Xenopus tropicalis: one gene and its partners. The protein of the gene in region 2 interacts with the protein of the main gene of each other region in a pairwise test. Links are inferred from orthologs where the notes say so. Each region holds a gene or a part of one and is shown on either strand. Other genes may lie near its edges. The genes, in order: meox2, smarce1, trim54, ralbp1, cep63, mtus2 and ccdc172.

Evidence for each region.
Region 1: the proteins of smarce1 (region 2) and meox2 interact in binary tests that used the Homo sapiens proteins (3 or more experiments, as listed by UniProt). The two-hybrid records come from large-scale screens. The link is inferred for Xenopus tropicalis from reciprocal best matches to the Homo sapiens genes SMARCE1 and MEOX2.
Region 3: the proteins of smarce1 (region 2) and trim54 interact in binary tests that used the Homo sapiens proteins (3 or more experiments, as listed by UniProt). The two-hybrid records come from large-scale screens. The link is inferred for Xenopus tropicalis from reciprocal best matches to the Homo sapiens genes SMARCE1 and TRIM54.
Region 4: the proteins of smarce1 (region 2) and ralbp1 interact in binary tests that used the Homo sapiens proteins (3 or more experiments, as listed by UniProt). The two-hybrid records come from large-scale screens. The link is inferred for Xenopus tropicalis from reciprocal best matches to the Homo sapiens genes SMARCE1 and RALBP1.
Region 5: the proteins of smarce1 (region 2) and cep63 interact in binary tests that used the Homo sapiens proteins (3 or more experiments, as listed by UniProt). The two-hybrid records come from large-scale screens. The link is inferred for Xenopus tropicalis from reciprocal best matches to the Homo sapiens genes SMARCE1 and CEP63.
Region 6: the proteins of smarce1 (region 2) and mtus2 interact in binary tests that used the Homo sapiens proteins (3 or more experiments, as listed by UniProt). The two-hybrid records come from large-scale screens. The link is inferred for Xenopus tropicalis from reciprocal best matches to the Homo sapiens genes SMARCE1 and MTUS2.
Region 7: the proteins of smarce1 (region 2) and ccdc172 interact in binary tests that used the Homo sapiens proteins (3 or more experiments, as listed by UniProt). The two-hybrid records come from large-scale screens. The link is inferred for Xenopus tropicalis from reciprocal best matches to the Homo sapiens genes SMARCE1 and CCDC172.

What each region holds. Positions count from the first base shown.
Region 1 is NC_030682.2:36,891,089-36,895,057, forward strand, and holds the start of meox2 (homeobox protein MOX-2), read right to left. Parts: upstream 2,801-3,969; 5' UTR 2,651-2,800; coding exon 2,146-2,650; intron 1-2,145. UniProt on the Homo sapiens protein: Mesodermal transcription factor that plays a key role in somitogenesis and somitogenesis and limb muscle differentiation. Required during limb development for normal appendicular muscle formation and for the normal regulation of myogenic genes.
Region 2 is NC_030686.2:8,351,395-8,354,894, reverse strand, and holds part of smarce1 (SWI/SNF-related matrix-associated actin-dependent regulator of chromatin subfamily E member 1), read right to left. Parts: intron 2,377-3,500; coding exon 2,205-2,376; intron 1-2,204. UniProt on the Homo sapiens protein: Involved in transcriptional activation and repression of select genes by chromatin remodeling (alteration of DNA-nucleosome topology).
Region 3 is NC_030681.2:162,394,851-162,398,350, forward strand, and holds part of trim54 (tripartite motif-containing protein 54), read right to left. Parts: intron 1,494-3,500; coding exon 1,321-1,493; intron 1-1,320. UniProt on the Homo sapiens protein: May bind and stabilize microtubules during myotubes formation.
Region 4 is NC_030682.2:104,596,814-104,600,313, reverse strand, and holds part of ralbp1 (ralA-binding protein 1), read right to left. Parts: intron 894-3,500; coding exon 732-893; intron 1-731. UniProt on the Homo sapiens protein: Multifunctional protein that functions as a downstream effector of RALA and RALB. As a GTPase-activating protein/GAP can inactivate CDC42 and RAC1 by stimulating their GTPase activity.
Region 5 is NC_030681.2:130,322,197-130,326,325, reverse strand, and holds the start of cep63 (centrosomal protein of 63 kDa), read right to left. Parts: upstream 2,801-4,129; 5' UTR 2,518-2,800; intron 408-2,517; 5' UTR 375-407; coding exon 331-374; intron 49-330; coding exon 1-48. UniProt on the Homo sapiens protein: Required for normal spindle assembly.
Region 6 is NC_030678.2:154,663,722-154,667,221, forward strand, and holds part of mtus2 (microtubule-associated tumor suppressor candidate 2), read right to left. Parts: intron 2,266-3,500; 5' UTR 2,090-2,265; coding exon 8-2,089; intron 1-7. UniProt on the Homo sapiens protein: Binds microtubules. Together with MAPRE1 may target the microtubule depolymerase KIF2C to the plus-end of microtubules. May regulate the dynamics of microtubules at their growing distal tip.
Region 7 is NC_030683.2:4,841,080-4,845,049, reverse strand, and holds the start of ccdc172 (coiled-coil domain-containing protein 172), read right to left. Parts: upstream 2,801-3,970; 5' UTR 2,696-2,800; coding exon 2,617-2,695; intron 1-2,616.

The DNA of each region.
Region 1 (3,969 bases), on a different chromosome or scaffold from region 2:
AAACTACAGCATTCTCGTCACAGCCTAAGGCTAAAGGCTGATGATTGCAGTTCAGCAACCCCTAGACGCCCATAGTTTAGATTTTTCTATGTCGAAATATGCACATATAATGGATAGGACACGGTCCGGGCCATTAACTTTGACTCTAGATTGTATAATTTGGATAGGTATACTGTTTCACAAAGCCATCCTTTCATTTCTCCAGAAACCAAATGCCCTTAAAACAATTGTTTGTGAAGTGACTCTAAAAGAAAGAACAGCAGTTTCTCAAATTCGCCAGGACCCAGTTATTGGATACACCGTGGTTAATGAAGCTAGTTTGTCATTTTTGCTCTGTGATTAGGTATAGATTTCCTGGTAATTTATTTTCTTTAAACGCTTGCCAATGTTATCTTCCCTAAACAGACAAAACAGAAGGGGGGGGAGAGGTTTAAAAGCATTGCAAGCCTAGACAGACTAATTAAACACTGGAATAATAACTTTTGAAAAGTTGTCTTGTTTAAAGCCCCAAGCCTGGAAGAAAAAATAAGGTCAAACATATGTCACGAATTACTCATTTGTCATTCATGTCTTATAATTATTGAATAACCATTCATCCCAATCAGAATATCTCATAAGACTTAATTAGGAATGGTAAGCAGGTCATCTCCAATTATGACTTCGCTTTCACTTATTCCACTGACCACTTGTCTGATTAGTGAGTTAATATAGTTGCACTTATCTCTCGCCATCATCTAATAGCAGGATAAAGCTACTCCACTTTATATATATAAATATATATATGATAAGCATCGAAATCACCAATGAACTGGAACATATAATACATATTTCAGTTATGTTTATATTCAGTGTGATATACTATGTTCATTTCTTATGCTACTGATATGCAAGTATCACGTATATTGTATTTCTTTTACTAGAATTTGCCATTTTAAATGGAAATGGAAAAGAGGATTTTAGTGTTCATGTCTGTTTGGGGTATTTCAGGTATGACGGAAGGTGTCTGTTATGAATCATTTGACTTTTTCAGTTCTAGATATTGATTGGTAGTTATTCATATCACTATTGATATGCAGCGGATTAAAAATGTATATATTATTATGGTCTGCCAGAGATTCTGATCAGTGAAAGTGATGTAATAGGCTCAAAAGAACTGATTTCACTGAAGTGGCTTATGTGACTGAATTAAAGCAAATATTACCCATCACTTTGCACTTTGTTAATTAAACTCTTAATTTGATGCAGACTGTGTATATGGCTTTCCCAGAGGAGGTGTTAGCTGATAATATAATTAACACCTTTCTGCAGTTGCTGGGACGGGCAAAAAAGGCTGCCCTCCCTGGGATGAAATCTCTCTATTTTATTCCTGCAGGAAGGGGGAATGGGCAGTCTAAATGTGCCAATTGTCTTTTTATCTGCCATAAAATTGCATTTGTAATAGTTTGGCTGCTGAGAGAAACAGGAGTCAACAAGTGATCTCCATTTCTTGTTATAATACTGCAGTGATACTGGATCAGGCTGAATAAGGATGGAGTGCAGCACGGGTTTCTGAAGGATTGTGTCAATAAATAGATTGTAATTTCAAATGAAAAAATGATACTTGGATTCAATCTTGCTTATTAAAGGAATTTGATATTCTTTTGACACTGACAGGATTGTTACATAGGAATACACCAGGAAAGACTTGAAAAGAGGGAACTATTTCTGCCCGTTCGTATTGTAATGTAATATACAAGTATTTCCTGTTTAAATAGAAACTTTTTACTTATAATATGTCTTGCATAGCGTTTATAACATTCCTATAGTGTTAGCAAGCTGCACATGTCTGAAATATTGTATACATGCTAGTTAGCAAGTGTCTAACTAGTACTTTTTACACTGCTAAATGCATTTGCCAGTGAGTACGAACACAAAGCTTTGAGCAACAGAAAAACCCCTCTCTGCTCAATTTGAACTGTCAGAAGAAGCTGCCGTATGCATGGATGCTAATGGCATATCCTAGGCATACAGTTGCTTAGGTTTGCACCACTGCTGTGCCACTTTCTGCAATGCAGTGCTAATCCAATACAAGGCATCACAATTACCAGCTAATATATATTTCCTTTTTGCTGCATGCTCAGACATTGTAAACACAAATATCCTTACCTGAACTGTCACTTTTTCTTTTGCCAGTCCTCTTTTCTGCTTCTGCCGGGGAGAGGGTCTGTCTGCCATAGTCCCCTGTCACACAAGCTGCACCCGTTGAGCTGTTAGTGCCCAGGCTGGATGTGTTTGAACACAAAATAGAGGGGCTGCCACTTAGATCTGGAGGTCCAGATTCCTGCTGAAGGCAAAGGCTATGTCTGGTGGAGGCAGGAGGAGATGACATCTGAGGAATGTGCCAATTTGATTGCAAGGTCTGGTGCTGTTGTTGCTGGTGATGATGATGATGGTGATGATGGTGATGATGTCCTCTGTGATGCTGGCTCCCAAACATGCCCTCCTCATTGGGATAGCCAGTTAATATGCAAGAGGACGAAGAAGAGGATAAATCAGGATAGGACATGTGGTCGGATCTTCCATGGAGGGCAAGAGAAGACTGGGCAAAGGGGTGTAAGCCCTGAGAGGTGGCATGGGGGCTGCGCAGGCAGCCAAACAGTGTGTGTTCCATGGCATACAAGTTTCAAGTTGCAGGCTTGAGATTCTGGCAGGATTAAACTCCACAACGCTGTCACTTTTCACTGTAAAATGATATTTTTCCCAAACAGTAACGGCACACTTTCAGTACAGATCAGATAATCCAGGTCTTCAGCCTGGTGGCCAGTCTCCTGTGCTTAAACAGTTTGCTCTGACCAAGATGAGCTTTTGCAGAGCTGCTCAGATGTCAAGAGTAGGAGAGGTTAAAGCCAACAGAAGGTGGTCCCAAGGAGCTGCTTTAATGGGGGAACAGCTAAGAGAGGATATAAATAGTGTGTAATGTGAGCTGGGGGCTGGCTTAGCAACACAGTACTGACCACAAACTCTCTCCAAAACTTTAGCACTCACAGATCCTTCCAAGTTGCGACAGCATCACTGCACTGTCTATGTACAACTTAAACCGGTTCTGCCCATTGCTAATATGGATATAGAGAAACTGCACGCAGGTCTTAGTAATTCATATACTGACACAATGACAAAAAGCTCATTCTACCGTAAGAAATCAATTGGAAAGTATTGTGCCATGCCAAGCAATACATGCCATTTTATTTCTTTTTTAGTGTTCTGTGTAGTGAATGTGATACAATATAAATAGCTTTAACTAAGGCACCATTAACCTACTGTTACTGAATCTATAACTCCCAGAATCCCCTGCCAGCTGCACTAGGTTATAACTTTTTACCAACATAGGACATATATGTGCAGTTTTATACAGCGGGAAGTAAGCAGTATACATTGTTCTCTTTTGGCGAGAGTAACGCAGAACCTGAGTAATGTTCTCCTCAAATTGTTTTCAGAAATAGGAAGATGTAACATCCTCTTAGTAAATAGGAAACATGTGTGTTTTCCCAACTAAAAGTCACACCTGTGTTTTTCAGATGTTTGTCCCTAAAATCTGCTCCAGGTACTGCTTACTGCACAGTAACACAATATTGTTCTATTCATCAGCATAAATACTCATTAACCCCTTCACCTATGGCACAGAAGCCTAGTTTGTTGTACCAGCATAGAATCTTTTATCTAAAATGCTTGGGATTTGAGGTTTTCCAGATAAGGGATCTTTCTGTAATTTGAATCTCCACACCTCAAGCCTGCTAAAAATCATTTAAATGTCAAATAAATCCAAAAGGATTGTTTTGCTTCCAATATGGATTCACACAGCTTAGGTACCATCAAGTACAAGGCACTGTTTGATTATTACAGAGAATGAATAAATCACTTTTAAAAATTAGAATTATTTGCTTAAAGTGCAGTCTATGAGAGGTGGCCTTCTCATCATTCAGAGCATTCTGT
Region 2 (3,500 bases):
TCAGGATTTGGGGTTTTGCAGATAAAGGATCTTTCGGTAATTTGGAACTCCATAACTTAAATCTTTTAAAAAAAATAATTTAACCATGAAATAAACCCAATAGGGCTGTTCTGCCCCCAATAAGGGGTAATTATATCTTAGTTGGGATCAAGTACAGGTACTGTTTTATTATTACAGAGAAAAGGGAATCATTTAACCATGAAATAAACCCAATAGGGCTCTTCTGCCCCAATAAGGGGTAATTATATCTTAGTTGGGATCAAGTACAGGTACTGTTTTATTATTACAGAGAAAAGGGAATCATTTAACCATGAAATAAACCCAATAGGACTGTTCTGCCCCAATAAGGGGTAATTATATCTTAGTTGGGATCAAGTACAGGTACTGTTTTATTATTACAGAGAAAATTCCATTTTTTTTTTTTTTTAATTAATTTCCTTTATTTGGTTAATATGGAGTCTATGGGAGACGGACTTCCCGTAATTTACAGCTTTCTGGATAATGGATCCCAAACCTGCACTCCCTTCCTAAACTAACTTTAGAAAAAATGGCTACACTTCGAAGCAAATTAACAGTGAATAAATTTAGTTACTTTATCCAATATATTTTAAAGGGCTGGAAAATCAAGAGACATCTGACAGGGACTTTGTGACTGCAGGAACTGCTTTCAGGCAATCAGAGAGCAATTTCTGGCTGTGCTTATAATGCACCAAAGAGCTGAAACTGCCCTACGTGAAGCCATAAGTCTCCATTATTTATTTGTTATAGTTTTTCAATTGTTTGCCGCCTTCTTCCAGCTCTTTAAATGGGGGTTGCTGACCCAATCCGTGAAAAAAAAAACAAAAAAAAAAAAAAACAATGCTCTGTGAGGCTACAGTTTTATTGTGATTTTTAACTTTCTTTTCTAATCAGTCCCTCTCCTAATCATATATATCAGTCTCTCATCCAAAGCAATCCCTGGTTGCTAAGGTAACTTGGACCCTAGCAACCAAATAGCTGCTGAAACTCCAAACTGGAGAGCTTCTGAACTGAAAATGAAATGAAATTACCTATTTAAAGTCACAACTGCTGGGGGCGACAAAAGTTAGCGCCCCCCAACCCACCCAGATACCCCAGGCCAGTGCCCGTTAGCAGAAAACCACACGTGCCAGGGCAGTTTTCTGTTAATAGGAGCCCCAGACCAGGGTATTAGGTAAGTGAATACAATCACTGGGGGGTGTCTCACTTGTGGCGGCCCCTAGTAATTGTGATTTTACTTCTCTTTCCTTCCCCTTTAAGCTCTTGCTTTATTCCTACAGATCAGAAACAGCAATATAATTGGGATGTGCTGAAAGCCCAACATTCCTGAGCAGCTACTGAGAGTTCTTCTGTTGGGCACAAGAGGGAGCTGTAACACGGTATTAGCCAGTCATAACTATATTAATGTACTTACAAACTATACTTAAGATTCTTGTTAAATTGCTGACATTTTGGCTGCGAGTTTGTTAAAGGGAAACTCCACCCAAACACAACTTTTTGAAAAGTAAATATAATTTCAAGCAACTTTGCAATAAACATTATAAAATATGCAGCCTTTTCTTGATGTTTAATGTAATAATCTGGTTTGGAGCAGTTCCCTAAGCCCCGCCCCCTGTTCCCTAAGCCCCGCCCCCTGTTCCCCTGCTGATCTGGCTGACTACTTTGTGACTCAAATAAACTGTAACAGTAGCACCTGTTCCTCAGCCTGCCTCCTCCCAATCCCACAATTCCCTGCTGCACACGTGATGTCAATAAAGAAAGGAACATCCCAGTGCAATGCATTGTGGGTTATGTAGTTCCTGCATGCTGTCTGTAAGCTGTGGGGAAGTTGTTACAATCTGTAACATCAGTGTTTTAGTCCCTCCTCCCCTGCCAGGATTACAAATGATGCAGAAAGAGAAGAACAGTTTTGCAGCTGGATTTCAGCATATAAAAATGGTATTTATTCCTACTGTTTGAAGGAACAGATTACAGGGATAGGGATATTAGGGGTTTCTGTGTTGTGTTCCGCTTAGAACAAACCTCTTTTAATAAAGAGGGAAAAACCCCTATCACATCCATGATAGTTTAGCCACTATAAAAGACACCTATTTTTGAGTCTTTGCCTCCCTGTTAGATGTCAGGCCGTCTGATATCCTACAGGTAGATTTGGTACACAAGCTTTATAGATAGACAAGGTCACTAACCGTCCGGATCCTCGGCCGGCTGGATGCTCATGTACGGCTCCCCCTTGTCCATGCGCGACTGCCTCTGGCGGCTTTCCTCCTCGAGGGCAGCTTCAGCCCGGCTTTTGGCATTGATGTAGGCAAGATAAGCAGGAGAGTTGTGGTAAGTCTTCATTGATTCGTTGTACTCAATCTAAAGAGGGGATAAAAACAAAAAAAAAAATAAAGAAATGATAAGCACCGAATATATAGTGATTATATCAGCATTTTCCTGCCTGACTGCAAATCAATACTTTCAAATGGCAATGAAATGCTCTATTCCTTCACCCCCTCTATACACCACAGTGCATGATTTTCAGGGAAAATATCTTTACTTTACTTTCTATTAGACAGACCTGAGCCTGAATGGGTGTGTTTGCATGTACACCATAGATTTAAAGGGGATTTAACCCCTATCCCAATTGTGCACCAATAACTGCCCCTATCCTGCAAACCCCTTAGTATTTGGAATGCTTTAAAAGAAAATACCTGTTAAAACTTGGCTTCCTGTCAATTGAACTAAGGAGATACGGTGAAGGAAGGAGCAGCATCAACTATGCGACGATTGATTGATCCAGCCTAGCCTTCTTTCTGTATAGGAAGGAGTCAGGCTAGACTCGATCAATCGATCGTCGCATAGTGGATGCTGCTCCTTCCTTCACCGTATCTCCTTAGTTCAATTGACAGGAAGCCAAGCTTTAGCAGGTATTTTCTTTTAAAGCATTCCAAATACTAAGGGGTTTGCAGGATAGGGCAGTTATTGGTGCAGGGTAGAATAGCCTTTTCACTTAAAAAATGTTAGTGTTACTTTTCCTTTGAAGCCGGGCACACATGCACCGATAATATCAAATGAAAGCTGTGTTACTTTTCCTTTGAAGCCGGCCACACATGCACGATAATATCAAATGAAAGCTGTGTTACTTTTCCTTTGAAGCCGGCCACACATGCACGATAATATCAAATGAAAGCTGTGTTACTTTTCCTTTGAAGCCGGCCACACATGCACGATAATATCAAATGAAAGCTGTGTTACTTTTCCTTTGAAGCCGGCCACACATGCACGATAATATCAAATGAAAGCTGTGTTACTTTTCCTTTGAAGCCGGCCACACATGCACGATAATATCAAATGAAAGCTGTGTTACTTTTCCTTTGAAGCCGGCCACACATGCACCGATAATATCAAATGAAAGCTGTGTTACTTTTCCTTTGAAGCCGGGCACACATGCACCGATAATATCAAATGAAAGCTGTGTTACTTTTCCTTTGAAGCCGGGC
Region 3 (3,500 bases), on a different chromosome or scaffold from region 2:
TCAGGGTGACTGGGGGGCTCTCCCTGTCTATCCTTGGCTTGAGCCTTCCCTCGGGGTGTTGCCCCGCTCCTCAGGGTGACTGGGGGGGGGCTCTCCCTGTCTATCCTTGGCTTGAGCCTTCCTCGGGGGTGTTGCTCTGCTCCTCAGGGTGACTGGGGGGCTCTCCCTGTCTATCCTTGGCTTGAGCCTTCCCTCGGGGTGTTGCCCCGCTCCTCAGGGTGACTGGGGGGGGGCTCTCCCTGTCTATCCTTGGCTTGAGCCTTCCCTCGGGGTGTTGCTCTGCTCCTCAGGGTGACTGGGGGGGCTCTCCCTGTCTATCCTTGGTTGAGCCTTCCCTCGGGGGTGTTGCCCCGCTCCTCAGGGTGACTGGGGGGGCTCTCCCTGTCTATCCTTGGCTGAGCCTTCCCTCGGGGGTGTTGCCCCGCTCCTCAGGGTGACTGGGGGGGCTCTCCTGTCTATCCTTGGCTTGAGCCTTCCCTCGGGTGTTGCCCCGCTCCTCAGGGTGACTGGGGGGGCTCTCCCTGTCTATCCTTGGCTTGAGCCTTCCCTCGGGGTGTTGCCGCCACTCCTCAGGGTGACTGGGGGGGCTCTCCCTGTCTATCCTTGGCTTGAGCCTTCCCTCGGGGGTGTTGCCCCGCTCCTCAGGGTGACTGGGGGGGCTCTCCCTGTCTATCCTTGCTTGAGCCTTCCCTCGGGGGTGTTGCCCTCGCTCCTCAGGGTGACTGGGGGGCTCTCCCTGTCTATCCTTGGCTTGAGCCTTCCCCTTGGGGTGTTGCCCCGCCTCCTCAGGGTGACTGGGGGGGCTCTCCCTGTCTATCCTTGGCTTGAGCCTTCCCTCGGGGTGTTGCCCCGCTCCTCAGGGTGACTGGGGGGGCTCTCCCTGTCTATCCTTGGCTTGAGCCTTCCCTCGGGGTGTTGCCCCGCTCCTCAGGGTGACTGGGGGGGGGGCTTTCCCTGTCTATCCTTGGCTTGAGCCTTCCCTCGGGGGTGTTGCCTCACAAGGAGTAGTATCTACCTGTAACTATCTACCTGTAGGTACCTGGCCTTCCCGAAACACTTTGACTCGACAGGTTTGTTGTGTTTAACTCTTCTCCATCTGATTTTGGATAGGATAGAGGGAGACACAGGAAGAGGAGGAGCTTCGCAAGATCATTGAGGGGTTGTCCAGCCTCCAGAGAGGAGCTTAACTAGACTGACAGTATGGGCTTACGCAGAAGGGATTTACCAGGTAAGCCAATCTCCTTCTTACACAGTAAATGCCCCTTTCCTATGTACGTTATGCACCAATAAATGCCCCTGTCCCAATCCCACAGAACTTACCTGCTCGATTCCTGTTTGTAAATGTCAATGATATTTTCCACCAGTAGGTTCCTCTGTAGCCCGTACACCCCGTGTCTGTCCAGCACCACCTCATGGCGGCATGAAGGGCAGCGAAATCGCCCCCCTGAGGAGACAGTGCTGGATCCTCGTGACTGCCACAGAGGATTGGAGGCCTGGGGGCAGAAGGACACCAATTAGATTTTGCCCCCCTATATACAGAATAACATGCAGCACTTTACCACCAATGCTACATACAGAGGCCTTCTCCTGGGTTAATACATTAAAACCACTTCCAGACAAGAACCAACACCCAGTGCCAATTCTACCCTCAAATACACAGGGGCTTCAACAATAGTCCTACCTTGTTGTAGAGTTGTCACCCCTGCCGGATCAGAAAGCCTGGCAGGGGTGATGTCATGGGGGTGGAGATGAGGCGGGGCCTCGACAGCACGGCCATGCCATCATGGGGGCTATGACTCCTACTGAGTCTCCTACATATTGTTCCTCCTCCTACTGACTCTTCTCCATGTTGTTCCTCCTCCTACTGACTCTTCTCCATGTTGTTCCTCCTCCTACTGACTCTTCTCCATCTTGTTCCTCCTCCTACAGAGTCTCCTACATCTTGTTCCTCCCCCTACTGACTCTTCTCTATGTTGTTCCTCCTCCTACAGAGTCTCCTACATCTTGTTCCTCCCCCTACTGACTCTTCTCTATGTTGTTCCTCCTCCTACAGAGTCTCCTACATCTTGTTCCTCCCCCTACTGACTCTTCTCCATCTTGTTCCTCCTCCTACAGAGTCTCCTACATCTTGTTCCTCCCCCTACTGACTCTTCTCTATGTTGTTCCTCCTCCTACAGAGTCTCCTACATCTTGTTCCTCCCCCTACTGACTCTTCTCTATGTTGTTCCTCCTTACGGAGTCTCCTACATCTTGTTCCTCCCCCTACTGACTCTTCTCTATGTTGTTCCTCCTTACGGAGTCTCCTACATCTTGTTCCTCCCCCTACTGACTCTTCTCCATGTTGTTCCTCCTCCTACTGACTCTTCCCCATCTTGTTCCTCCTCCTTACGGAGTCTCCTACATCTTGTTCCTCCCCCTACTGACTATTCTCTATGTTGTTCCTCCTCCTACTGCGTCTCCTACATCTTGTTCCTCCCCCTACTGACTCTTCTCTATGTTGTTCCTCCTTACGGAGTCTCCTACATCTTGTTCCTCCCCCTACTGACTCTTCTCCATGTTGTTCCTCCTCCTACTGACTCTTCCCCATCTTGTTCCTCCTCCTTACGGAGTCTCCTACATCTTGTTCCTCCCCCTACTGACTATTCTCTATGTTGTTCCTCCTCCTTACGGAGTCTCCTACATCTTGTTCCTCCCCCTACTGACTATTCTCTATGTTGTTCCTCCTCCTACTGAGTCTCCTACATCTTGTTCCTCCCCCTACTGACTCTTCTCCATGTTGTTCCTCCTCCTTACGGAGTCTCCTACATCTTGTTCCTCCCCCTACTGACTATTCTCTATGTTGTTCCTCCTCCTACTGAGTCTCCTACATCTTGTTCCTCCCCCTACTGACTCTTTCCATGTTGTTCCTCCTCCTTACGGAGTCTCCTACATCTTGTTCCTCCCCCTACTGACTCTTCTCCATGTTGTTCCTCCTCCTTACGGAGTCTCCTACATCTTGTTCCTCCCCCTACTGACTCTTCTCCATGTTGTTCCTCCTCCTTACGGAGTCTCCTACATCTTGTTCCTCCCCCTACTGACTCTTCTCTATGTTGCTCTTCCTCCTACTGAGTCTCCTACATCTTGTTCCTCCCCCTACTGACTATTCTCTATGTTGTTCCTCCTCCTACTGAGTCTCCTACATCTTGTTCCTCCTCCTACTGACTCTTCTCTATGTTGTTCCTCCTCCTATGGAGTCTCCTACATCTTGTTCCTCCCCCTACTGACTATTCTCTATGTTGTTCCTCCTCCTACTGAGTCTCCTACATCTTGTTCCTCCTCCTACTGACTCTTCTCTATGTTGTTCCTCCTCCTTACGGAGTCTCCTACATCTTGTTCCTCCCCCTACTGACTATTCTCTATGTTGTTCCTCCTCCTACTGAGTCTCCTACATCTTGTTCCTCCCCCTACTGACTCTTTCCATGTTGTTCCTCCTCCTTACGGAGTCTCCTACATCTTGTTCC
Region 4 (3,500 bases), on a different chromosome or scaffold from region 2:
GTGACAGAAATGAATGTGGGTAATATTACACAAACATCAAGGCTGCTTTTATTTATAACACCATCAGCTGGACAATGTGACACCAAAAATGCTTTTATAGAGGCAATTAAAAATTTAGTCCCATGTACAAAAGAGGCTAAACTAATGTCTGATAAATCCAAGCAAGCATTATAGCACTGGTCTCTGGAATATATAGAGAATTATAATATTTTTATCAGTGTTGCCCATTACACTGATTAAGAGAGATAAGGTGAGCTATACAAAGCACTAAATTAGTGGGGTTCTGATCCCTTGAAAAGGGAAATAGGTGACCTAAGCCCTTTGTGATGTAGCACACCACGTGATATATAAACATTTAAAGGGGCAATGCATTGCCATGTTCAACCTTCTGCTTCTTCAGAGCAATAGGTGGGGTAGAAAGTAATCAACTCCTCCTTATCTGTAAGCCTGTCTCAAACAACTGGGGAAAGACATGGCTCCTTTATAGAGTGTATTGCCTGTAGTTAAATAAACTCCTAACATGGGGAGGAAGAGGAAAGTTGTAAGTGTGAAAACAAAACTATGCTGCCTTAGAACTTACAATCGAAAATTAGGACAATATTTGTAAATTTTGAAGGAGGCATAATGTGTAAAATACAAGAGTTATACGCCTCTAAATAAAGAAGGAAAGTACTTGTTGTGTCTGTATAACTAATGATAATGGCATAATTACTAAAACCATGAAGACAAACCTGCCGCCGAATTTCCTCCTTGATTGTTTCCTGTGTTTCAGGCAATGTCGGCATGGTTGCCATGTTAGACCAGCGCAAAGGCTTAATCACTCGCTTTATCTGGATTCCGCCAAAGAGCTCTTGGACGTGTGTAAAAAACACATACAGGACACGGTTACTAATCTGAGGAGGAGAAACAGATTGTAAAACTGAAAAGAAAGGATTAAAATAAATGCGGTAAAATAAGGTTATAGGCTTTATTGTCACAGACCTGGTAAGAACCTACTAACAGCGCATACGTATTTAGCAATCCCATATTAATTAGCAAAAATTAGACTAGAAATATATCTACTGCAGTGAGACTTTCCTGTGCCTAAAATAGCTGATGTGAGTGATAGGGGTGAGCGAGCAATAGTGACACTTGTGAATGTTAAATAATCCATAATATTCCACTGCATGATTAACAGATTACTCCCCAGCACCGATATACAGATTACTTACGCTGCATGTCATTTCTAATTTGCACACAAATTGCATTTACACTCAAAGAAGTCTTTCTGCTACACATTTTCCAATGCACAATACGGCACAGGTCTTGCATTTACTTAGGTATGGGACTCCTCATCAGGAAACCCATTATCCAGAAAGCTTTGAATTACGAGAAGGCCATCTCCCATAGGCTCTATTTTAATCAAATAATTCAATTTTTAAAAATTGATTTTCTTTTTCTCTGTAGTAATAAAACAGTACCTTGTACCCTTATCAGATGGAAACAATCCTTCTGGGTTCATTTATTGTTTAAAAGTTTTTTGTAGATTTAGTGCCCTGGCACACGGGGAGATTAGTCGCCGGTGAACAGGGAGATTTGTCGCGGGCGACTAATCTCCCTGTGTGCCAGAGCCCTAAATCTACAAAAAACTTTTCCCCGGATTGCCATCCCACCGGCGAAAATGTAAGTCGCCGGTGGGATGGCACACGCTGCGCAGGTGATTTCGGCAAATCGACGAAAATGCCTCGCGAGGCAACTTCACCGATTTGCAGAAATCGCCTGCGCAGCGGGTGCCATCTCACCTGTGACTTACATTTTCACCGGTGGGATGGTAGTTCGGGGAGATTAGTCGCCCGTGACAAGGGAGATTTGTCGCGGGCGACTTATCTCCCCATGTGCCAGAGCCCTTAAACGTATGGAGATGCAAATTGCAGAAAAACCCTTTATCCGGAAAACCTTTATCTGTTCATGGTAATAAATTCAATCTGAGGCCCAGAAACCTGCATTTATCAGAAGGGCCCTGATATTTCAAATGATCTGGTAACCTTACTAATCATTGTTAGTACTTATTACCATATTAGTACTAATTAACCATACGTGTTGCCTACATGAACCATGAAAAAGAGGGACATATTAGGATTTCACATATCTAAATGCACAGTTAATTAGCACCAGCGGTGTGTGTATGTGGGTGTACCGGTTATAAGTCACACAGATAGTGAGGCTTCTGCATCTGTATGAACATGCACTGGTTTCATACACTCATTTCCCATGTATCTGAGCAAAGCCTAAATGATAGACTAGAGGGTGTGCATTAGGATACAGTTGTTAAAAGTGGACATAATTCATTAAATACTAAGACATAAACCAGGAAAAAACTGCAACCGTTTGCAAGAAACTATTTTTGTTAGCATGGGCGAGTTTTGGGCGTCTGACACAATTAAAGAAAAAGGAATCTGTAACCAGACTGTCAGTCTGCAAATTTCAAAGCAGAAAAAAATGGGCTATGGCATGTAATTTGGACTATATTTTACCCATTTAAAGCTGAGCATCTTGATGTATGAATCATAGCAACCCAAAGCAAGTGAATTCTACAGTTATTTTGCCTTCAGAAGCACCAGAAATGTGTGAAACCAGCAGCAAAGAGAAATACCAGGTGCATTATAAGTTAGGGTGGCTTCTCTTTGCTCTTGCCAAGAAGCACCTTGAAAAGATACACGTGGCGTGGCACAGATCAAAGAGAAACCTGGATCTGTAAAATCTATGGCACTGGGATAATGGTACTTTTATGCTGGCACTGTAGTCTATATCGAGTGACACAAAGGGTTAAATAGTAAAGCACTGTTTACAGGAAGGATTACCTTTCACTATATATATAAGTCTGAGTGCTTTTATACATGTTGTGAAACTCCAAGGTGACTTTTAACCCCCCTAATGAAATAAGTTAGCCCTGTTTTTTTTTTTTAAGATATTCAAGGCTCTTATATATCAAACCATTATTACTGACGCTTAATGATGTCACCTGGCACAGTTGCCTTCCCCTGCCATCCCACCGGCAAACATGTAAGTCACCGGTGGGATGGCAGACGCGGCGGCGCGATTTAGCGCAAATCGCCGAAAAAGACTCGCGAGTCTTTTTCGGCGATTTCCCGAAATCGCCCCGCCGCGTCTGCCATCCCGCCGGCGACTTACATGTTCGCCGGTGGGATGGCAGGGGAAGGCAACTCGGGGAGATTAGTCGCCCGCGAACAGGGAGTTTTGCCGCGGGCGACTAATCTCCCCGTGTGCCAGAGCCCTAAAAAGTGGAGTGAAACATTACCAGTGATGTTGCTCATAGCAGCCAATCAGATGCTTTGCTTTGATTTTCTAACTGTTGAAATCTAATTGCTGATTGGTTGCCCTGGGCAACATCACCAGTAATGCTTCACTCCACGTTTTACATGGCATGATAAATATACCCCTTACTGTCCAGGGCATGTAAAGAAAAATCATGACTAGCAACATTAAAACAATGTAACTGG
Region 5 (4,129 bases), on a different chromosome or scaffold from region 2:
TGCCTCATGAGTTCCTGCAGCTCAGCCTCACAGGAGCCTTGCAAAGACCTAATGAAGATGAACACAGAGTTATAAAAAAAGCAGCAGATGTAAATAAATATGTTTATATATTGGTTTTCAGACTCACCCCTTACAGTCATACATTTAATTGACCAGTCCTCCTTAATTTTAAAGCAAGGTATAGATAAATACAAATGTTATTATATCAGTAATAATAACAGTATTAGAATTATTACTGACTTCTAATAAATGTTCACCTCAAATCTAAAACATGCTGGGCGATTAACAGAATTGATCCCACTGTCCAAACCTGTAACTTAGGTTACTCACCCCATTCTCTCTTGTTGCTGAATCCCTTGTAACAAAGCTTCCATTCCGTTTATTTAACAGCCTGCAAATGGCTATTACTAGAAAACACAGAGAGGGCACAGAAAATATTTTAGCAAGAAAAATAGTACCACTGGTGCTACATATACTGTTAGGGCATAGACACATGGGGGAATAGTCGCCATGGCTATTAAAAAAGTAAGCTGTGGCAATTAATCGCGCAATGGGCAGCGTATAAGTAGCTGCGACTAATCACAGGCAGATTATTTGCTGTGACTTTTTTCAAAAGTTGTGGCAACTAATTGCAACATCTTCCCCCTTAAGAACTATAGAAGCACAGCCTTGAGATATACAGTCTTTGCGAGTGCGCAAACACTAGACCATCCAAGAATCATGTAACACATCTCATTTTATTGGAACTTGATTAAAACCTGCTTGACGCATCTCGTGTCTTGCCCTTAGTGATAAGCATAAAACCATTCCATCTGTATATCTGGGTGTGTGATCATTCGGCACTTTTCCCTTAAGATATACAATTGGAATGGTTTTATGGTTATGACTAAGTACAGGACACAAAACGCATCAAGCTTGTTTTAATCAAGTTCCAATAAAATGAGAAGTTTTACCCGATTCTTGGATGGTCGGTGGTCGAGTGTTTGCACACTCACAAATATTGGATGCCAGAACATAGTGCTTTTATACCGCCATTGTGCTGAAAATTTTCAGCACTATTGTAGTATAAAAGCACAATTATTATTTATGATGCATGGAGTGCTGGTCCTTTATCTTCTATAAAGCTTTGATTGTGCACCTTCAGTTGGCAAGAGTATTGTGTGCAGACTTTATCTGAGAAAATATATAATATATATATATCAATCCAAATAGCACTCCAAATAGCACTCCAAGGCTCAATATTCTGCGGGGTGCACAGCCAAAATTTAACTACACAGAAAATAATAATCATCCGTGGCCGGCACACCCTTCAATACTTTATCAAAAATTTATTGAAAACATATTGTTTAAAACAGACGTTTCAGTCCTCATTAGGACCTTTCTCAAGGATCCTTGAGAAAGGTCCTAATGAGGACCGAAACGTCGGTTTTAAACAATATGTTTTCAATAAATTTTTGATAAAGTATTGAAGGGTGTGCCGGTCACGGATGATTATTATTTTATATATATATATATATATATATATATATATATATATATATATACGGATTGGAGATTTCAAAGCGACAGGCTGCTTTCATTATCTCTTAAAGTCGAGAGTCTTATTTCGATTGAGTTAGGCCTAATACATCTTTTAGGCAAAAGGAACACCCCCCAAAGGATGTTTTAGAATTCACTCTCTCACAATCACCAGAAATCCTGTCCCTTTATGTGCAGGCTATGTGCCAAAATCAGTTTTGTTACATTTTGTTTGTGCTAGAATCAATTATTTAAGTGAGCTGTGACACATTTGCTAGGAATGGGAGCCCGCACCCCAAAGACATAGTAGATTTATCAATCAAAATCAGACTCCTGACACCTGCATGAGGACAGAATGAAGAGACGAGGGGGGGAGTGAAGAGTCACTTGATTATTTCAGAAAAGCTCCAAAATCTTTAATTGAATATATTTAAGAAATGTCCTATTTGGCATGATGTAGCTTGTACATATGTTGTGCACGATGGCTTGTTTGCACAAGATACAGGATTGGGCACCATATCACACAAATTTCACACCATAACTTTACATTCTGTCGACTTTAAAAGGAATGTGATAATGCATTTTTTGTAAAAATATTCTGTCCACAAGTTACAGTCTGTGCTGGGGGGATCAGCGCTGTGAGTGATACATGGGCGCTCAGGGAATGATCCTGTACTTGCCATCTCCCTAAGCCCCAACTCGCCCAGCCCCATTCCCAGACTGGTGTCCTTTCCTTTCCATTCCTTTGTGTTTGCAGGACATGTAGCCCCAAAACCCTGAAACTCCTTCAGAAAAGATGTTTAAAGGGGAACTATTGCGATAATGAAAGTTTAATATCCCACTGCTCATTTAACAACTTTGGAATCATTTCTCCCCAGTGCTGGAAGCCAATGGAACATAAACAAACGTCCAGTTTCCATTATTTTGACGGCACTAGGCTGACAAAATCAACTATATATGAATTCACCGACGCCCATTGATAGCAAAAAGAAGCCGCACTTGAAAATAGAGGCATCAAATAAGTCTTTTCCTCGTCCCATAGTCAGTCAGTAGAGGGACCGGGTATGGCGGTGAGACCGGCACAGTAACAGGAAGAGCAGACGACCTTACCTCCCCAGCAAGGCAGCCTAGACGAGAAAAAGCGGGGAGGTTAAGGGCTAACTCCCAAATGACACTGTAGGGAACATACAGTCATGTGATCCCCATTGCGCGCTAAAGTCCCCGATCCTAAGGGTGAGCGCTTCCGGGTACACAGATCGCTGCAGTTACTGATTGGTTGGAAGCAGAGGGCGGGCTGTTTCAAACAAACCTACGGTAGCCGTACTGGGACATTCGTAACCAGAGGCATTGTCCTGGAAGTTACAGCGTGAACAGTCTCCTAATCTGCCTCTGCTTAGTGGACGAGCGTTGTGTTTGGGGCAGCAGTTTCCAGACTTTAGAGAGCCCCGCCAAAGGTTGAATTTGGGGGAGAACATGTAGTTGTAAATATAGATATCATGGGAACTTGGGCCGGTACCCTATATAAGTTACCCTGAAACGTGACCAGAGAAAGTCCCTGCTGTGCCCAGTGCACTCGAGGGTTTATTTTCTCACGATTTTTATAGATTTTTCAAGCGTCTGTATAAGGATGTTTTAACCAAGAGTGTAGGTGGGCCAGTGATATCCATGCTAGGTGCAGCCCCACTGCATTCTATTCACTTGTATAGGGATTCTTAGGGACATATACTGTATATATATCAGTGGAAGTGAGGGGTCACTCTGATAAATTCCAAAACTATCCCATACACTTGTGTAAGAGCTGCGTAGTTTCACTGTGGCACAATGTGAGCCCTAGTTCTTTATGAAATATTCCTCTCAGTGCAAAGTTATTCCAGACAGGACTTACTGAGCCTAAATCAGCAGAATATCCCAGTGCATCAGCCTGTTTTTCTTACCCACAATGCCAAGTCCTTCCTACAATTCCAGCCTAATAGCAGGTGCCACAACCTGGCTGAGGTAACAATGCGGACACCCAGGGCCACCATCAGAAATCACGGGGCCCCTCACAACAAAAATTTCTGGGCCCCCCTCCCACCAGTACAAAGGACTCACAGACATGGTACATTGGTAGCCAGCAGTGCCCCCCCCTAGTACATTGGTAGCCAGCAGTGCCCCTCTAGTACATTGGTAGCCAGCTGTGCCCCCCCAGTACATTGGTAGCCAGCTGTGCCCCCCCAGTACATTGGTAGCCAGCTGTGCCCCCCCAGTACATTGGTAGCCAGCAGTGCCCCCCCAGTACATTGGTAGCCAGCAGTGCCCCTCTAGTACATTGGTAGTCAGCTGTGCCCCCCCAGTACATTGGTAGCCAGCTGTGCCCCCCCAGTACATTGGTAGCCAACAGTGCCCCCTCAGTACATTGATAGCCAGCAGTGCCCCCCCTAGTACATTGGTTGCCAGCAGGGCCCCCCTAATGCATTGGTAGCCAGCAGTGCCCCCCAGTACATTGGTAGCCTGCAGTGCCCCCCCCAGTACATTGGTAGCCAGCAGTGCCCCCCCAGTACATTGGTAGCCAGCAGTGCCCCCCCTAGTACATTGGTTGCCAGCAGGGCCCCCCTAATGCATTGGTAGCCAG
Region 6 (3,500 bases), on a different chromosome or scaffold from region 2:
CACTTACCTCGTCTATTGATTTTTCATTAATCTGTCCAAAATGATGTCCAGGAGGCCTTATTCCAGACACCATTAAACCAGCGGCATATATTCTTTGTTTCTGCAGGTCTGCTTTATATTTATCTAGTAGGACATTGGAAGCATTAATGTCACTGCCTAAGACCTCATGGTCTCTTGCCATTGGAACATTGCAAGCAGGGGAACCAAAAGGCATGCCTACTGGACCATATGGAAGTCTGTCTATTGTCTGAGGGTTTCTTCTAATGTAGGTAATAATCTTAGGTCGGACATGCTTGGGTTTAGGGATGATTAGAATTGGTTCAGGTGCTTCTTCTGGCTTTTCATTGTCATTGGTGTCCGTATCAGCTTTACTTGCAAGGCAAGGCTTGGAATGTATTAGTATTGGTTTTGGAATTCCACTACTACAAAGCAATTTGTTAGTGGCTTTAGGGGAAATGTTTAAGACTTGTGTACCATCAAAAGGTGGCAGAACTGAGGAAGGTGACAATCTGTCAACATGAACAGCATTAAGATCCACAGAGCTGCTCGGTGAGGCAATGCACTGATCATTAATATTTACTGCAGTCACGAGGCCTGGTAAAATGGGAGCACATGAAAAGGTATCAGTTAGATCCTTCTGGCTGTCTTTCATGCTGCCTTTTAAACCATCTGACTGATGTTTTCTCCCGACAATTGCCTTTTTGCTCTCAACTAAAGCCGTTTTATCCTTTGTGGAAGCCATGTTGCTGCTTAAAACAAAATTATTGTCACTGTCCTGGCAAAGAAAACTTTCAAGTGAACCTCTGTCTTTATGTAGAAGTGGTTTATTATCCAGGGAATCGCTGAGTGATGTTGTTTTTCGTATAAGAGGCTTGGTGCTTAGCTCTCTCCCCATATCAGATGCATATTCATCCGGCTTCTTATGTGCTAGACTAAAATGAGATAATTTAGGGCTGCTACCGAAACTCTTGTCTTCATGGTTTATGACTTTGTAACATTGGGACATATCTACATGACCCAACGGAGCATAAAGATTTGAAACTGGAGATGTTCTGGATTCGGAAATATTGCCTGCTGTCTTGGTACCTGAAATTGCAGTCATCGTACTCTGGTCTTGTTTGTGCCGACAAATTCTTTTAGACTGTAATAAGTTGGAATCTGAAATTTCTGAAGTTTTTTGTGTTTGACCCTGATATAATTGTGCTTCTGTTATATTAAAAATTACCTGAGGTTTAGAAGGGATTCTTAAATGATGGTCAGTGCTTGTGGGACTGGTATGTAGTGTGCTTGGCTTATTACCACTTGATAAGGCTCCCTCGCCTAGTGATAATTCAGGGACATCTGAGGTAGGTGACCTGGAACAAAGTACAATCTTTTTTTCCTCTGAGCCGCAACTGTGTGTATGGGAAGAGAATCCAAATAAATGGTCAACTGGTATTGATGAATTAGTTGCCCTAATCCCGTGATTTGGCATCTGTAAATACTTGGGTGGGGAGATCAAACATGGCGTTGGTGAAATACGACCTTTAGCAAAAGTTTCTGATTTTGTCGATACCATACCTGATTTCAGAAAGGAAATTCCTTTAACCTGTTCATTGTGTGATAGGTTACCAGTGTTATTACTACACATAATGAGGGAAGAGTCACTAACTCTGCTCTGAGGATACACCAAACTTCTGTCAAGCACACCCGCCTTTGAATGTCCATCAGCCTTTGAATGTCCATCAAAAGCTCCAGTTGTTTTTAAACTGCCTTTAGCATCATCAGTCACAAAATGTTTGTTAATGTCTCTTTCTATCAGGGATGGTGACTTTGGATCACTCAACGGCTGATCACCAGATGGAGAATCCTGACCAGAGGTGAGCGATGTACTGTGCTCCTCACATGACTGGGAAAGATCTGACTGTGATGTGGACAACCCCCCTGGTTTTTTAATGCTGCTTGAGACCTGAGTTTTCCCTGTTGGGTATATTTGGTTGGCATTGTTATCACCTAAGCTGATCACATTTTTGTTGTCAACTTGATCTTGGTTGCTGTTAATGGAATTTCCAGTTGAACATTCCTTGCTTGAAACCATAGGTGTGCTCATTTTGGAATAGCAGTTTCATAAGTACCACAGATTGAAATTGTGTCACCTCTAGACAGTTGTATTAGTATGTAACTTATTAAATTGCCGTCATATTTCAACATTAGTGCCAACTCAATTTCTGTCCACGTTGACTTATGGCTTTGTTGGCCTCAGTGCAACATGTTGCATGTGTGAGCCTGTAAAAGAGAAGAATATTTATGTAAGTGTACAGATTCTCCATAAGTATATAAAAGACTAACCAACATGTAATACAAGGTACTAAGCAATAAGATATTTGTTTTCAAACAGGTGACTAGTCAATGCTACTTGCTGATTGGTTGCTATGAGTTACTGCCCCTGGCACCATTTATTACATAATTCCATAAGGGAAACAGATGTGTTTTAAAAGTTTTTGCCATAGTACAAAGGGTAACAAACATTTCAAAGCATATTCTCATGATTTTATGTTGGAATCTCATTAAACAACATCTCTTATAGAATGGACTTGATTCCCAGAGCAAGTTCACCTACTTATTTGCCTCCTACCCCACTTTCTACCAACAATTCCATTCCCTCTTGTTGCCACCAAAATTTTTCTCCTGCTCCTTCAACCTTCAAACTGGAATGTATTTTCTATATCAGCACCCGAGGGTTCATGTCTAGGGTAACAGCTTTAGGGGAGTAACCCTGGATGTGGATTAAGGGGGACAAAGCTGTTTAAATTAAAAAAATCCTCTCATCTGAGGGGGGTGCCCTACTCTTTAAAGTTTTTGACATTTGGCACAGACTTCACATGACTGAATCCGCATAGGGCTGCATCCAACCCAAATACATTGCTGATCCAACTTTGAAGGATTTTCTTTTCACTGTGATATGCTAAATATAAACCCTACTGAAAGAAGTCACTGACTAGTTCTATGACCAGGTCATGGAACTCAGAGTTGCCTTCCAGCACCCATATACCTGTATCGTAAAGAACAGGTATATAGAAATGTTATTTCTTAAATAAATCACATATTAATGAGCCATATAACCCATGCCATGTCATTAAGAACCAATCCAGTTGCAATTCAGTAAAGCTTCTTTACCTAACAAAATAAATAACTGAAGATTTACTCTCTTGGGAGAGCTGTGGTGGATAGCAATGTAAAATATCCTTGAACTTGATACATATACAGGTGGATCCATGGCTATTCTGTTGCGTTACCTAATATTTATGAAAATTCTAAATGCTTTATATGGACTTACCCTACACTAAATACCAAAGGGAGGTTCAGTTCTGTTAGGAAAAACATCAGTTTACTTTCTTCACTGCAGACTCATAACTCTTTAGAAAAGTGACATAGTGGCATGTTATTGCATCAATATTACTATTTAGAAGGTGTCATAACTGTCCTAGGGAATACAACAAACCTAATAAATAGTAATAATT
Region 7 (3,970 bases), on a different chromosome or scaffold from region 2:
TGCCGGTAAATTTGTAATATTCTATAAATCCCTTTCTTACCCCACTGGCTCCACTGCCCCATTACCTTTATAAGAACAGGCCCAACCCCACTCCGCCCATTTCCTCACCCCATCTGCCCCTTTCCCCACCCCATGGCCTCATCACCCGCCCTGCCGGTAAATTTGTAATATTTTATAAATCCCTCTCTTTTCTCAACGGCTCCACTGCCCGATTACCCTTATAAGAACAGGCCCAACCCCACTCCACCCATTTCCCTGCTCCACCCACCCATTTCCCCACGCCATCTGCCCATTTCCCCACCCCATGTCTTTATTGACCCCCTGCTGGTAAATTTTTAATATTTTATAAATCCCTCTCTTTTCTCAACGGCTCCACTACCCTTATAAGAACATGCCCAACCCCACTCCGCCCATTTCCCTGCTCCACCCTATTCTGAGTTTCCCCTGAGACCCCTCTCCCTGGGCCTGTATGGAGCTGGGCACAGCCACTGTGGGCAATATGTGCCAGATAGCAGAACTCACCAGGCACTTGGAATCCACAAAGGTTCTTTATTTGTTGTGGGTGAACAAACGTTGGATTGGATAAACAAATGCCGGAGGTCAAAAGGAATATTGCTTTCCCAACCCCTGGAGTAGCTCCTCACACATGGAAAGCAGGAACATAAATGGCATGATGGGAGGAACTGACATCACATATAAGGAAGGGGATGGGAGGGTCTACAGACTTAGAAGTAAACAACTTGCAATATGACCTTGGTCCTAGGTGGCAGTATAACGATGTATATTCATATAAACCATTAAAGGGAAACGAAAGGTAAAGTCACTTGGGGGTGCCAAAATGTTAGGCACCCCCAAGTGACTTTAACCGCTTACCTCGTACCCCGGGCTGGTGCCCCTGTTGGGAGAAAACAGCACCAGCCCGGGGCACCTGGAGCGGATCGTTTCCGTGTTCTGGCTTCCTTTTCCGGAATGCCAGCGGTGGGCGCATGCGCAGTAGAGTGAAAAGCCGACTTTAATGTTTAAGTTCGGCTTTTCACTCTACTGCGCATGCGCGCGCAGCGAAACAGAAGGAAGGAAGCGCCGGCAGCTACCCCGGGCTGGTGCTGTTCCCTCCTCACAGGGGCACCAGCCCGGGGTAAAAGGTAGGTGGTCAAAGTCACTTGGGGGTGCCTAACATTTTGGCACCCCCAAGTGACTTTGGCTTTCTTTTTCCTTTAACTTTAAACATAATACACAAATATTAACTGCCCACCCATTTCCCCACCACAGCCCATTTCCCCTGCCCAATCTGTCCATTTCCCCACCCTATTATCGTCATCACTGCACCCCAAGTGCCCTCATTGATTGCCCCACCCGAAGGCCCGGGATAAAACAGTTGATGTTAGGCAGCCATGTTGGGCATGTATCTACACATAATAACTAACTTTGCACCGTGCAATCTTTGTGACGCTTATGGAGGTCTCAGCTGGTTTAATAAGCAGCTGAAGTACAGGTACAGGACCTGTTATCCAGAATGTTTGGGACCTGGGGTTTTCTGGATAAGGGATCTTTCCGTTATTTGGATCTCCATAACTTAAGTCTGCTAAAAATAATTTAAATATTGAATAAACCCAATAGGGCTGTTCTGCCCCCAATAAGGGGTAATTATATCTTAGTTGGGATCAAGTACAGGTACTGTTTTATTATTACAGAGAAAAGGGAATCATTTAACCATTAAATAAACCCAATAGGGCTGTTCTGCCCCAATAAGGGGTAATTATATCTTAGTTGGGATCAAGTACAGGTACTGTTTTATTATTACAAAGAAAAGGGAATCATTTAACCATTAAATAAACCCAATAGGGCTGTTCTGCCCCAATAAGGGGCAATTATATCTTAGTTGGGATCAAGTACAGGTACTGTTTTATTATTACAGAGAAAAGGGAATCATTTAACCATTAAATAAACCCAATAGGGCTGTTCTGCCCCCAATAAGGGGTAATTATATCTTAGTTGGGATCAAGTACAGGTACTGTTTTATTATTACAGAGAAAAAGGAAATCATTTTTAAAAATTAGAATTGGCCTTTAGAAGATGGCTTTTCCATAATTCGGAACCTTATGGATAATGGATTTCCAGATAAGGGATCCCATACCTGTACCAAATGTAGCACCACCAATGCACGGACTCATTACAGCTATACACAGAGACTTATGAATTACTGGAAATTGCTGAACATGAATTTAAAAGGTGGAAATACACCAGCCCTCCTATAGTTTGAAACGTTTGCCCTTTTGGCGTTGGTTAATGTTTACAGGCCAGGCTGATAAAATACCAGACAGGTGGCAACATTACCCACTATTACAACAGAATTACCACCACTTCCCCTTTAAACCAGACATGGGGGTTATGTAATAAAAGGTGCTAAGTTGCCCAGGAGCAATAACCCATAGCAACCAAACAGCAAGAAGAAATTACTGGTCACCTGTTTTATTGGTTGCTATGGGTTACTGCTCCTGGGCAAACTTGGTGGCTTTTATTACATGTGGGGGATAATAGTATATATTTACCTTGCATGGCTTGATAACAGTTATACTTTATAGGGGTGGATATTGTAATATCAGAGGTAATATTCACCCTCTCGTAGGTGTCGGTTCATCTCAGAGGCCTGCTGTTCTGTCAGCAAAATGTACTGGAGCAGGGAATCCAGACTCATTGTGATGTCTCCCTATATCTCCTGCCTCTCCTTATAGACTAATGTTCCTCTTCACTGCAACAAAATGTCTGACAGGATTCAGGCCTGGGCCCTCCCACTGGCTTAGCTAGGCCTCGTTGCCAGGGCAACACACAGGAAACAACAAAACTGCAGGGAAACTGCATATATATATATATATATATTTATTGATATAGCATGAATACTTTCACAAAAGAATCAAAAGTTTGTTCTCCCAGTGAATAAATATATAATAGATATTCACTCCTCAGTCAGGAATGGGAGAATGCAACTGTTTGTTTCTTGAGGGGGCTGGGAAATAACTTTAATATTGACATATATGGGGTATGTATAGTGTGTATATACAGGTCCTTTTCAAAAAATTAGCATATTGTGATAAAGTTCATTATTTTCTGTAATGTACTGATAAACATTAGACTTTTATATATTTCAGATTCATTACACACAACTGAAGTAGTTCAAGCCTTTTCTTGTTTTAATATTGATGATTGTGGCATACAGCTCATGAAAACCCAAAATTCCTATCTCAAAAAATTAGCATATTTCATCCGCCCAATAAAAGAAAAGTGTTTTTAATACAAAAAAAGTCAACCTTCAAATAATTATGTTCAGTTATGCACTCAATACTTGGTCGGGAATCCTTTTGCAGAAATGACTGCTTCAATGTGGCGTGGCATGGAGGCAATCAGCCTGTGGCACTGCTCAGGTGTTATGGAGGCCCAGGATGCTTCAATAGCGGCCTTAAGCTCATCCAGAGTGTTGGGTCTTGTGTCTCTCAACTTTCTCTTCACAATATCCCACAGATTCTCTATGGGGTTCAGGTCAGGAGAGTTGGCAGGCCAATTGAGCACAGTAATACCATGGTCAGTAAACCATTTACCAGTGGTTTTGGCACTGTGAGCAGGTGCCAGGTCATGCTGAAAAATGAAATCTTCATCTCCATAAAGCTTTTCAGCAGATGGAAGCATGAAGTGCTCCAAAATCTCCTGATAGCTAGCTGCATTGACCCTGCCCTTGATAAAACACAGTGGACCAACACCAGCAGCTGACATGGCACCCCAGACCATCACTGACTGTGGGTACTTGACACTGGACTTCAGGCATTTTGGCATTTCCCTCTCCCCAGTCTTCCTCCAGACTCTGGCACCTTGATTTCCGAATGACATACTTTGGACCACTGAGCAACAGTCCAGTGCTGCTTCTCTGTAGCCCAGGTCAGGCGCTTCTGCCGCTGTTTCTGGTTCAAAAGTGGCTTGA